Linked DNA regions of Elephas maximus indicus. The protein of the gene in region 1 interacts with the protein of each later gene in a pairwise test. Links are inferred from orthologs where the notes say so. Each region holds a gene or a part of one and is shown in the gene's direction. Other genes may lie near its edges.

Region 1 (3,901 bases):
CATGCTCAAGGTTAAGATTTTCACTAAATGGTAAAACAAACTCTGGGGAAAGCTTCTTGCAAACAAATGCAATTTTATGAAACCTGAAAAGAAAGAATATTTACCTCAACCCCACTTATGTTAATTATTTTGTGTCTTTAAGATATTTAGCTTATATTTTACAGATTTCTTTGTATATGATTAAAATGTAAGCTCAGTGCTTTGTATTGTCAAAGCACTTGATTTTATTTCAAAATGGAACTTAAATTTTTTATGTTTGGGAGAGACAAACATAAAACAACAAAACACACGCACAGGTAACGGCACGTTGCAATGAAAAAAGCCTGGATGGATGAGATGAACAATTAAGATGGGACCAATATGAAAAACTTCTAAAAATTAAAGTAAGCACGGGTGAAGTACAATGCAAAATCACATCACTATTTCATATATTAAAAAAAAAAAAAATTAACCAAAGCAAAATACCGAATCAAACCAATTTCGCCCTTCCTGCCTGCTTCTGCTTTCCCCGCCAGCCTTCTTTCTTCTCATTCCCCCCAGCACCCGAAATCTCCTATCGCGAGAAGGGTACTTAATTGGAGACCCTGGTGGCTAGTGGTTAAGAGCTACGGCTGCTAACGTAAGATGGTCTGCAGTTCGAATCTATTAGGTGCTCCCTGGAAACCCTATGGGACGGTTCTACTCTATCCTGTAGGGTCGGTATTATTTGGAATCGACTGGACAGCAACTTTTTTTTTTTTTTTTTAATTTAACCTCTATGAACTTCTGACTTAGTGGTGATTTTCGAGGAAACACGAGAAAGCCGTCAGTATAGTGCACAGAGCGTAACAAACGTATATTGACACTAAACCTGCTCAGGGCGAATCCAGTACACGAACAGAGGGTAACACTTCACTTAGTCTTCACGTCTCTAAAACGTGGAACTTGTAATTCTGACGTTTACGCACCTCACAGCAGCGCATGCTCCGTAGGTGAAACAGCGCCTCTCCTTCCCCTCGTTGGAGATTCTGGTTTGTCTATTAATTTACGACAGTCGTAAATTAGGATTTCGTGATGGCTTCCTAACTTTACGACGGCAACAACTATGGCGGCTGCTAGTGGTAGATTTGAAAGTGCGAAGAGTATCGAAGAGCGTAAAGAACAGACCCGGATTGCTAGGGCCGAAGTGTTGCGCCAGGTACGTCTATTTTGGAGCTTTTGAAACCCTTTAAGTTGTGGGAGTGGAGGGTTCCCGACAGCTAGGCACTCCAGCTTCCCTCATCCCGGCACACACTTAAGTACCTTACCTTTTCTGGGTGGGGTCTCTTTTGAGGATACCCCCAAGCTCTTGGCTGTTCCCCGCCTTCCAAACGCTCTGGCTGGCTCCTTTGTTCTTTCCCTGTATTCAGGGAGCGTTGTTCCTTTTCCTCTGAGTTTCCTTGCCTTTTAAATCATCCCGTCTTTTCTGTCTCCTGGACTGCGCACTTGTAGGGACTCTGCCGTAGTGCCTTACAGCCTTAGTCCTTGCTCATGTTGTATCTGAAACTAAAATTTTCATTTTGAAGAACAGTTGTAAAGAATGTGTTTGACCATTTTATTCTCGTGTCTTCCTTTTGGTATCAGTTTCAGGCTCATTGCAAGCCTTTACTGATCCAAACAAGGGTTGACAGTGGAGACCCAGAAAATTTAGTCCCTGGAAAAAGATTGAGAAACTTTGTATTCCTCATTTAGACTGAGATGCATAGAGGTAAGATACAAAGAATGGAGCAAGTAAACTCTATTAAATTGTCTAACAAGCTATTCAAGATGTTTGGTAACAAATGGGAAAAGTTAATAGCTGGAGAGCAAGGTAGGGTACAAGTGAAAGTACACGGTTTTGTTTGTTTTATGATGGGAGAATTTTAAACGAGTTTAAATGCAAATGAAAGGATCCAGTACAGAAGGAAAGGTAGAGGATGCAGGAATGAGAGGGTATAATGACTACAGCCAGATCTTAAAGTGGGAGAGTAGGCAGTTAGTCTTAGACAAGCGCAAGGTCTGTATTGCTCCCTGACTTTAGTATAAGTATTATGTATGTATAGTAAGTATTCTTCAACCTTGATTCTGGTATTTTCAAGCAGTTTTTCGAGGGAAGTAGGGTTTGTAAGCATGCTTTTAAATCCTCATTGTTTCTGTAACCCTTATCTGCAAACTCAGCCTTATTTGCTCTTATTTATTCTTGTGAAAGAGTTTACTTAATGCTATTCAAATGTAAGTGTTTTCTGTAATTTGCTGAAGCTTGTTCAATATTATCGTGGGGTAAGGGAGAAAGATTTATTTGTGGAAAAATAAGTGGTAACATAGTTCTGATATGACTATTAGGAAAAGATAAAAGACTATTAGTAAAAGATTACATTGTTGAACAGGAGCTATGAATATTATTTACTCATTTATTTGCATACAGACTAGAATTACCTTGAGAACTGATATTTGTTTGCAACATTACCATTCATATTAGTTCCTTAAGTGGTTTTAAAAATTTTTATTGTAATTCATTTTCATTTTTATTTGAGTTTTCTTACTTTTGCTGTGAGGAATAAAATGATCCTCACTCCCAAATGCTGGAAGAAAACTTCCAGTTTACTCTTTGATATTTGAAGAAAAAAATATCCAAAACTTGGAAATAAGGCAAAACATGACTATGCTTCCCTTAATATTGTAGTTGATTTGGAAATCGATTTGGCGCTTCCTTATAAAGCTAGAAATAGAACTGCTATACGATCCAGCAATCCCACTCCTTGGACTATGTCCTAGAGAAATAAGAGCCTTTACGCGAACAGATATATGTACACCCATGTTTATTGCAGCACTGTTTACAATAGCAAAAACATGGAAGCAACCAAGGTGCCCATCAACACATGAATGGATAAATCAATTATGGTATGTTCACGCAATGGAATACTACGCATCGGTAAAGAACAGTGAGGAATCTGTGAGACATACAACATGGAGGAACCTGGAAGGCATTATGCTGAGTGAAATTAGTCAGTTGCAAAAGGACAAATATTGTAGAAAACCACTATTATAAGAACTTGAGAAATAGTTTAAACTGAGAAGAAAACGTTCTTTTGTAAAAAGTTACGAGAGGGGGGAGGGAGGGAGGAGGGTGGGAGAGGGGCATTCACTAGATAGTAGATGAGAACTACTTCAGGTGAAGGGAGAGACAGCACACAATACAGGGGAGGTCAGCACAATGGGACTAAACCAAAAGCAAAGAAGTTTCCTGAGTAAACTGAATGCTTCGAAGGCCAGCGAAGCAGGGGCAGGGGTCTGGGGACCATGGTTTCAGGGGACATCTAAGTCAATTGGCATAATAAAATCTATTAAGAAAACATTCTGCATCCCACTTTGAAGAGTGGTGTCTGGAGTCTTAAATGCTGGCAAGCAGCCATCTAAGATGCATTCATTGGTCTCAACCCACCTGGATCAAAGGAGAATGAAGAACACCAAGGACACAAGGCGATTACGAGCCTAAGAGACAGAAGGGGCCACATGAACCATAGACTACATCATCCTGAGACCTGAAGAACTAGATGGTGCCTGGCTACATCCAATGACTGCCCTGACAGGGAACACAACAGAGAACCTCTGAGGGAGCAGAAGAGCAGTGGGATGCAGACCCCAAATTCTCATAAAAAGACTGAGACTAGAAGGACCCGGGTGATCATGGCACCCAGATCTTCTATTGGCCCAGGACAGGAGCCATTCCCGAAGCCAGCTCTTCAGACATGGATTGGACTGGACAATGGGTTGGAGAGGGATGCTGGTGAGGAGTGAGCTTCTTGGATCAGGTGGACACTTGAGACTATGTTGGCATCTCCTGCCTGGAGGGGAGATGAGAGGGTGGAGGGGGTTAGAAGGTGATGAAATGGACACGAAAAGA
Region 2 (3,901 bases), on another chromosome or scaffold:
ACAGCAGGATAAATGGAAAGCTTTTTTAACCAAAAAGAGATGGCAAAACTATATTCAATAGCCACAGTATATGACTAAAAACAGCGTCCTGGGTCATAATTTGTGAAGAGAAAATTATGAGCAAAAGATAGGTGAAGAGAGAAGAATGATAAGAGAGCGACTGAGGGAAAGATAAAAAAGAACAATTCACTGAGGCAGAGATGCACACACCTCTATGTAGCTTCCCTGCCTTAAGGACTGAACAGCCTACAGGGAAGCAGGTTTCCACCCTTGCTCTAAAGAGAACAATGCACAGGTTGTTATCTTGGCTACACAGTGTAATGTAGAAAAGTCTGAAATTTCAACCTGGGGATGAATTTCCGTCTCTCTGGTGGATAATCTGAAAATGCATCCATTCTTCAAGCAGAACGAGTTCCCAGAGCAATTAGGGAAGACATTTGGTATGTATTTATGCATGGGGTGGGTATGCCTTGGCTTCTGCTGGAAATCTATATTGGTGTAATCCTGCAGGCGCCAAAGACCATAAAAGTAATTGCCAAAGCAAGCAGTGATGTGGTGTGTTCATTTATTTTATTTTACTCTTCCAGGAACTTGATGCATATCTATAAGAGAATATACATGGATTATTTTAAGGGATTTCCATGCTTTAGTTTTTTAAAAACTGGTTTCTTAAAAGCCATTTCCTGGAGGTGTGCTCATCCCTCAAGTAGAAGTCATTGACTGTATTGAAGATTAAATCCCAGGGACCAGCAAGGAGAAGAATAGATACCCAGGAGTCCCCATCAGGGCCCTGGGGCCTGGTCCAGCTCTCCGAAGGAAGCGGCAGGCCAAGTTTTTAAAATTTGATTGCAATCAGTTAAGTCCAGAGGACCCAGTGTCCTACCTCCAGCACACCCTTCCCCCAACCTCTTTCCTTCTGGAGGCACACAAACTTGGAAGGCTTTTGTCTTCTGGAAAATCGATGCAGCCCGTTGTGAACAGCACTTTAGAGAAAAGTCTGGGACAGGGCAGTGGAGGAAAAAAAAAAAAAAAAGGAGGAGAGGCTGAAAATTTATGAACAAGCCAGACAAACTGTCCTCCGGGAAGGGCTCTATGTTAATAAAAACACAAAGTTGCTGTAATTCAGGGAGCGATGGGATAATGCTATGAGCCAGTACAGAATCGAGGGTCAGCGCCGGCGCTGAACAGGGGGTTGGCTGTTGGGGTTTGTCTTTTTCACCCCCTTATTACATGCTGCACTCTGGAAGAAGAGGAGGATTAGACAAGGTCCCTGCGCTCCAGGAGCCTACAGGGCACTGGGAAGATGGATAGCCTAGGAAGCATATCTAGTTTGTATTTCCCAGGCGGTCCAGAGAAAAGGAAAAGACCTATTAACTCAAATACTGATTCAAGTATCGTAGTAACAAAATCTTTGCTAGAACCAACAGGGCAAAAAAGTTTGGCCCTAGGAGGCCACCGGTGGCGCTGCTACTCCACACATTACAGTACTAGGCGCTGTGCCTCCGCTGAAGCCCACCGTGCGGTGGGTGGGTGGGTGGCTGGGAGGCACTCCGATATTCCAGTGTCCCTTCTTCGGCTCTGAGCCCTCTCCGGGAGGGGTCTCGGAGCGGCGGGCGGCACCCGGTGCAGCCGCAGGAGGTCAGAAGCCGCCGAGCGCGGTGCTCCTGGCTGCCCGGGGCGCGTCCCGTCGCGTCTCGCGAGAACCGGCCGCACCTCTCGCGAGACGCGGGCCCGGCCGGAGGAGGGAGATCCGAGCGGCGGCGGCGGCGGCGTGAGGCGGCTCAGGTGAGGGCTAAGCGTGGGGCGCGGTGCTGAGCCGGGCCGCCCCTCTCGGTCCCTGCCGCGCGATCGCCGCCCGGACCCCGCTCCCTGTGACCCCGGGTGCTCCTACTGCGGCCGCCTGTGGAGGTCCGAGCCGGCCCTCGTCTTCCCTTGCCCTGGGCCAGGACCCCCCTCTTTGAGGACTCGGTGCTCCCGGCCCTGCCCTCGTCTGTGGAGGTCCGACCTCGGTCCTGCCCCGCGGAGTCCAGCCAGGCCCTGCCCCTCCTCGCCCCGGGGTGCGGCTCCGCCCCCCTCTAGATCCCTCTCTCCCGCGGGGTCGGGCTTTTCCCTTTCCTTCTCCTCACCTTCCTTCCATCTAGCAGGGTCTCTGCCGTCCCCCGTCACCCCACGTTCTCTCGCCACTGACCCCTAGCATCCCCTGGCCGCTCCTCGTCCTTGTTTCGGCTTCAGACTTTGTGGTCAGTTCCTCACGCCCCCTGCTTGGCTGCTGGACCTAAGAGAGCCGCTGGGACTGAGCAGCTGGTCAGCAGAGCCAAGCGGGGGACCGTGAGGGCCAGAGGGAGGGCTTCCTGGCCGGTGTTGGGGATGCCAGTCCTTAGGAAGCTCGGGGCCTCAGGGACAGTCCAGTAAAGAGGGATGCTCTTCCCTGAGGGCCGCTCTCTGGCGGTGACTGCACCTTCACCTCCAGTTCTCCATCTGAGGAAAGCATGGCAGTTGCATTGCTTCCGTTGTCAGAGATGGGTCACATCACTCCTAGCTGGTAGAAAAGTACCAATTCCGGTTGCTGTCAAGTCGACTCCAACTCATGGTGACCCCACGTGTGTCAGAGTAGAACTGTGCTCTGTAGGGTTTTCAGTGGCTGATTTTTTGGAAGCAGATCACCAGGCATTTCTTCTGACATGCCTCTGGGTGCACTTGAATCTCTGATCTTTACATTAGCAGCCTAGGGTGTTAACCATTCGCACCACCCAGGGACTGCAGCTAGTAGGGACTTGTGTCTCATATGTAGTATGCATTTGGAGAAAGCAGAAAAAGCCCGTGGCCAACTTGTTAGTTGCTGTGGAGTCCATTCAGTCTCGCTGATCCCACCTGTGCAGAGAACTGCTCTGTAGGGTTTTCTAGGCTATAACCTTTTGAAAGCAGATCGCCAGACCTGTCTTCTGAGGCACTTCTGGGTGGGTTCAAACCACCAACTTTTCAGCTAGTGGAGTGCTTAACCCTTTGCACTACACAGGGACTCCTGCCGACTTAGACTAGTGTAATGGGTGGTGACTTGCTATGTGAAGTAGTGTTGTGGGATGGTGAGGGTCCATGTAATTTCTGTAGGCTTCGATAGCTGTCCGTTTTGATGAGGGCAGTTGAGAGTGTGCTCTTGACTTCCAGCTCAAGGGTTCTGCTGGGAACAGTTCAGGCTCAGGGGTTAGGAGGCTGGAAGGTTCCAGTTTCTTGGACAAGGAGGATAGCGTTTTCTAGGTAGTTGATATAGCTGTTCTTTTCATTCTAGTGTATTCCATATGTCAGTTCTTTTAAGAGATGGCATTCCAAGAAGAGGAATATTAGCTGAGTTTTTCATCATGGCATGAAAAAGCATGGCTCTGGCCTAATCTTGTCAAATGGAAGGATTTGGGCTTCTCAGAGGTGCCCTGCTGCCTTCCGCCCTTTAGGCCTTTGTCTGTGAGGCCCACAGCGGTGGGAGTGCTCATTCAGTTTTCTCCAGCCATTTTGACTTCACAGTGTGACAGACAGGTGGGAGAGAGCAGCTACCTTTCACAGGGGTGGACTCAACGGCCTGAGAAGACAAGGACTCCACTTGTACAAGGCCCAGCTTCCTGTTAAATGGGGAATTCAGAGTTGGACCTAAGATTCTTCACTTTCTTTCTTTTTTGGGAGTTGAGGGCAGGAGGTGTTTTTCAATCTAACGCTTAAGGGGAATAAGAGAGGGAGCAGGCTGTTGTCCTAAGGGGGACACGGTGTTGGTTGTAGGCATTCCTCACCTTCTGCCAGGTGTGAGGCCGTGAGCACAGATTGCTGTTGTTTCTCCACCCCACCACATACTGGCTCGTGGACACACATGGCCTTTGGAGCCAGACACATCTGGGCTCCAATCTCAGTTTATAAC
Region 3 (3,901 bases), on another chromosome or scaffold:
CCCCTCCAGCCCTTCCAGCCGTAGGCGGCAGCGAAATGGGAACCAGATGGGGCTGGGAGAAACAAAAGGGGGAGGAGGTGGTGGGTTGGGGATGGGGGGGCCTAAGTCCTTGAAGGCGCTTCTCCATCTAGCGCTTAAATAAGGAAGCAAGTCGGACGCGCGCCTCCTGCAGCTCCTCAACTAGACTCTAACGAGATCCCCTAATAGGTGTCCCAGAAGGGTATCTTCTTATCCCAGCTTTGCCACACGGACATTCTCAAGGAACAGTTCTACTACCACAGCAAGCAGCATACCCCCTGCCTGACCTAAGCGCTAACAAACCCTGACGCGTCTAATGAAAGAGAACCTATGTGGTGACCTCCTGTTCCTGTTTTCCCAAACTTCGGCAACAAGGGAGGCAGGGATGGAGGAGGCCTGGGTTTCCGATAGCAGTCTCCCCAGATTACTCCTTTTAGGACTGGGGAATGGCACCGGAATACCTAAGGGATTCCTCCAGAGCAAGCCCTACGCTCACAGATCTGCCTTACGTTCAAACCCTATGGTAGTCAGATGCACGCACCAGCAGAGCTGCGCACAATTTTCCGCCAACTTTGGCCGGCTCGCTCCTAACATTCACACATACGGCACCACGACGCCCTCGCAGTGTGGGCCGCGGGCGTCCGCGTAGTTGTCTCAGTGCCTTTACCCGTCCGTGCGCTTCTGTTGTCTTTGTGTACTTGCGCGCGGTTGTGAAACTCCGCTCTCAGCTCAGAGGAGTAAAGGTGGTGGGGGTGTAGGAATGTCGCCGGCGGGGCGCTCACGTGGACACGTGGGTGCGGAGAAGGCTGGCTGTGCATCCGGGGTGGGCGGCACGGAGCGACCTCGCCCCGCCCGCTGGGTCCCCAAGCCCGCCTTCCACAGCTCGGCCTCAGTCACCTCGATCTCCAACTTGGCACCCCGGCTCCCAGTCACCGCCCCCGCCTCCTGTTTCACACCCCCTCCCCGCAATCTCCGCCTCTCTCCATCTCTCCGCCGAGGCCTCTCCGCGGCGGACAGACCTGGACTCCCGCCCCCCGCCCCCGGCCTCCGCCCCGGCACTGCCCACGCCCTCTGCCCGCCCAGCAGCCTGCGCAGCGCCGGGCCTCGCTCCCCGTGCGTCCTGCGGGGGCGGAGGAGCGGAGAGGCGGCAAGCGCAGCCGGGGAGGGGGGGGGCAGAGGCACAGACAGAGGCGCGGAGGCTCGGAGAGAGGAGACGTGGAGGGAGGGACGGAGCCTGGACAGCTACGGACACGGTATCGCGCACCGGGAAGAGCGCAGCGCGCACCAGGTGCTGAGCGCTGAGCACCGAGAGGGGCAGCCCGGGTGGTCTCTTGCCGTCCATGCACAGAGCGCCCTCCCCCACTGCCGAGCAGCCGCTGGGCGGAGGGGACAGCGCCCACCGGACCCCGCAGCCCAGACTCAAGTTAGTGGGCAAAGGGAAGCGTCGGGGAATGGAGATGGGTGGAGTCGGACTTCGGAATGGGGTCCGGGGGGGCAGGGGTCTGGGAGAGAACAAGGGAAGCGGGATGGGGGTGGGGGGGTGGAGACTGATGGGAGAGGGGGTGAGTTTTCGAATTAGGGGACCCTGGGGCAGCAGGGATTTGATGAGCTGAATGTGAAAGAGTAGTACCTGGCTCCTCCTCACCCGTTTACTCTGTGAGCATGATCTGGCAGGGATCTGGAGGCATTGTGAGCTCCCCACAAAGAACGTGGGAGCCCCCAAGCACCAGGGGAAGCCCTTGGAGCTGGAGGCAAGAGTGTCGCGGGAGGGCCGCTGGCTGGCTCAATCTGGCGTTGGCACGGAGTGCGCGGGGCCCCGGGGTCCGGGAGAAGCCAGCGCCTTTGGGCCAAGAGAGCATCTTTAGGGCACTGGGGAAGCAGAGGAATGTGTTAAGCCTGTTTTTCCTTTTCAGTCTTTCTAGTTACAGCAGTGCGGGGGGGGGGGGGAGTGTAGAAGAGCTGATGTGCAGCCCCTCCCGCCTTGAGCCGCTCCTCCACTCCACTTGAAGATGTGGGTGGGAAATGAAGGAGTGGAAAGTAGGCGGGAGTCTCCGGGCGGTTTTCGCCCACAGACCCTACCACTGTGGGAGTGTGTGTGGGCGGAAGGGCCCCAAAGCAGAACAATTGAGGCATTCCCCCCCCCCCCCATCAAGGGACAGGCCTAGCTAGCAAGTGGGGAAGGTCACTGCTAGGAGAGGGGCCAACTGAGGGGCACTGGGTAGCTTGGGGGGGAGGGTAGGTCCTAGAAGGGTGCTTTAAGAAGACCATCTAAGCCCTGGGAGAGGAACATGGGTCCCCTGGCTCATTAGTTGAAAAGGGCGGGGAAGGGGCCACACCCCTCCCTCTCATCCACCTGGGCAGCATGTCATGTGGGTGTGGAGCTAGCCAGCAGGGTTCCCACTGTCCATGTGGGATGAAAAGGTGGGCCTTCACCTTAGAGTGAGATGTCATCTTGGGTAATGTTGAGATTTTTGAGTATTTAGAGTTCAAGGTGAAATCTGCATTCTGGGAGAGAGGGAGGTCCAGCCACCTCAGGGCTGGGCTGGCAGGTTTCAGTGCTCCTTGCACCAGGCCTGCAGGATAAAAGCTGAAGGCAGAGGCTGAGTCTTTGACTCCTGTAAAGACTGGGCATTGGCTTTGTGTACTTCTGGCCACTCTGGGATGGCACTGGCATGCTTGTATTTCTGAGCAGTGAGTGTCTTGATTCTCATGGTCTGTGTTTAGGCTTGGGCACTGGGCAGATAGAGCGTTTAAGAGAAGGGAAGAAAAGCAGGCAGCCAAGAGAAGACAGTTGTGGGGATGGGCTGGTACCCAACAAGGGACTTGGATCCACTGTCTCTCTCTCTTGTGCACCTCCTTCTCAGGCCCAGTGCCCGAGCAATGGCACTGCCTCGGACGCTGGGGGAGCTGCAGCTGTACCGGGTCCTGCAGCGTGCCAATCTCCTTTCCTACTACGAGACCTTCATCCAGCAGGGAGGGGACGACGTGCAGCAGCTGTGTGAGGCGGGGGAGGAGGAGTTCCTGGAGATCATGGCACTCGTGGGCATGGCCACTAAGCCCCTTCATGTCCGGCGCCTGCAGAAGGCACTGAGAGAGTGGGCCACAAATCCAGGGCTCTTCAGCCAGCCAGTGCCTGCCGTACCCGTCTCCAGCATCCCCCTGTTCAAGATCTCTGAGACTGCGGGTACCCGGAAAGGGAACATGAGCAATGGGCATGGCAGCCCAGGGGAAAAGGCGGGTAGTGCCCGCAGTTTTAGCCCCAAAAGCCCCCTGGAACTTGGGGAGAAGCTGTCACCACTGTCAGGGGGACCTGGGGCAGGGGATCCCCGGATCTGGCCAGGTCGGAGCACTCCAGAGTCGGATGTTGGGGCAGGAGGAGAAGAGGAGGCTGGCTCACCCCCCTTCTCCCCACCTGCAGGGGGAGGAGTCCCTGAGGGAACTGGGGCTGGGGGACTAGCAGTAGGTGGGACTGGGGGTGGTCCAGACCGACTGGAGCCAGAAATGGTTCGCATGGTGGTAGAGAGTGTGGAGAGAATCTTCCGGAGCTTCCCAAGGGGGGATGCTGGGGAGGTAACCTCCCTGCTAAAGCTGAATAAGAAGCTGGCACGGAGCGTGGGGCACATCTTTGAGATGGATGATAGTGACAGCCAGAAAGAAGAGGAGATTCGCAAGTACAGCATCATCTATGGCCGCTTTGACTCCAAGCGGCGAGAGGGCAAGCAACTCAGCCTGCATGAGGTGAGGACCTTGCCTCCCAAAATTGCCCTTGGCTCCTGGGCCTCACCCCCTCACCTCTGTGAATCCTAGCGTTTTCTCAGTCTATGTCGTTACTGCTTGGTCTGAACTCCAGGCCACAATCTCCTATTCCACATACCTTGACCCC

The links.
Region 2: the proteins of CWF19L2 (region 1) and MAD1L1 interact in binary tests that used the Homo sapiens proteins (3 or more experiments, as listed by UniProt). The two-hybrid records come from large-scale screens. The link is inferred for Elephas maximus indicus from reciprocal best matches to the Homo sapiens genes CWF19L2 and MAD1L1.
Region 3: the proteins of CWF19L2 (region 1) and NAB2 interact in binary tests that used the Homo sapiens proteins (3 or more experiments, as listed by UniProt). The two-hybrid records come from large-scale screens. The link is inferred for Elephas maximus indicus from reciprocal best matches to the Homo sapiens genes CWF19L2 and NAB2.

Annotation. Positions count from the first base shown.
Region 1 is NC_064825.1:12,388,717-12,392,617, forward strand, and holds the start of CWF19L2 (CWF19-like protein 2), read left to right. Parts: upstream 1-1,028; 5' UTR 1,029-1,084; coding exon 1,085-1,177; intron 1,178-3,901.
Region 2 is NC_064830.1:96,566,474-96,570,374, reverse strand, and holds the start of MAD1L1 (mitotic spindle assembly checkpoint protein MAD1), read left to right. Parts: upstream 1-1,710; 5' UTR 1,711-1,785; intron 1,786-3,901. UniProt on the Homo sapiens protein: Component of the spindle-assembly checkpoint that prevents the onset of anaphase until all chromosomes are properly aligned at the metaphase plate.
Region 3 is NC_064822.1:117,002,201-117,006,101, forward strand, and holds the start of NAB2 (NGFI-A-binding protein 2), read left to right. Parts: upstream 1-1,104; 5' UTR 1,105-1,358; coding exon 1,359-1,441; intron 1,442-2,882; coding exon 2,883-3,756; intron 3,757-3,901. UniProt on the Homo sapiens protein: Acts as a transcriptional repressor for zinc finger transcription factors EGR1 and EGR2. Isoform 2 lacks repression ability.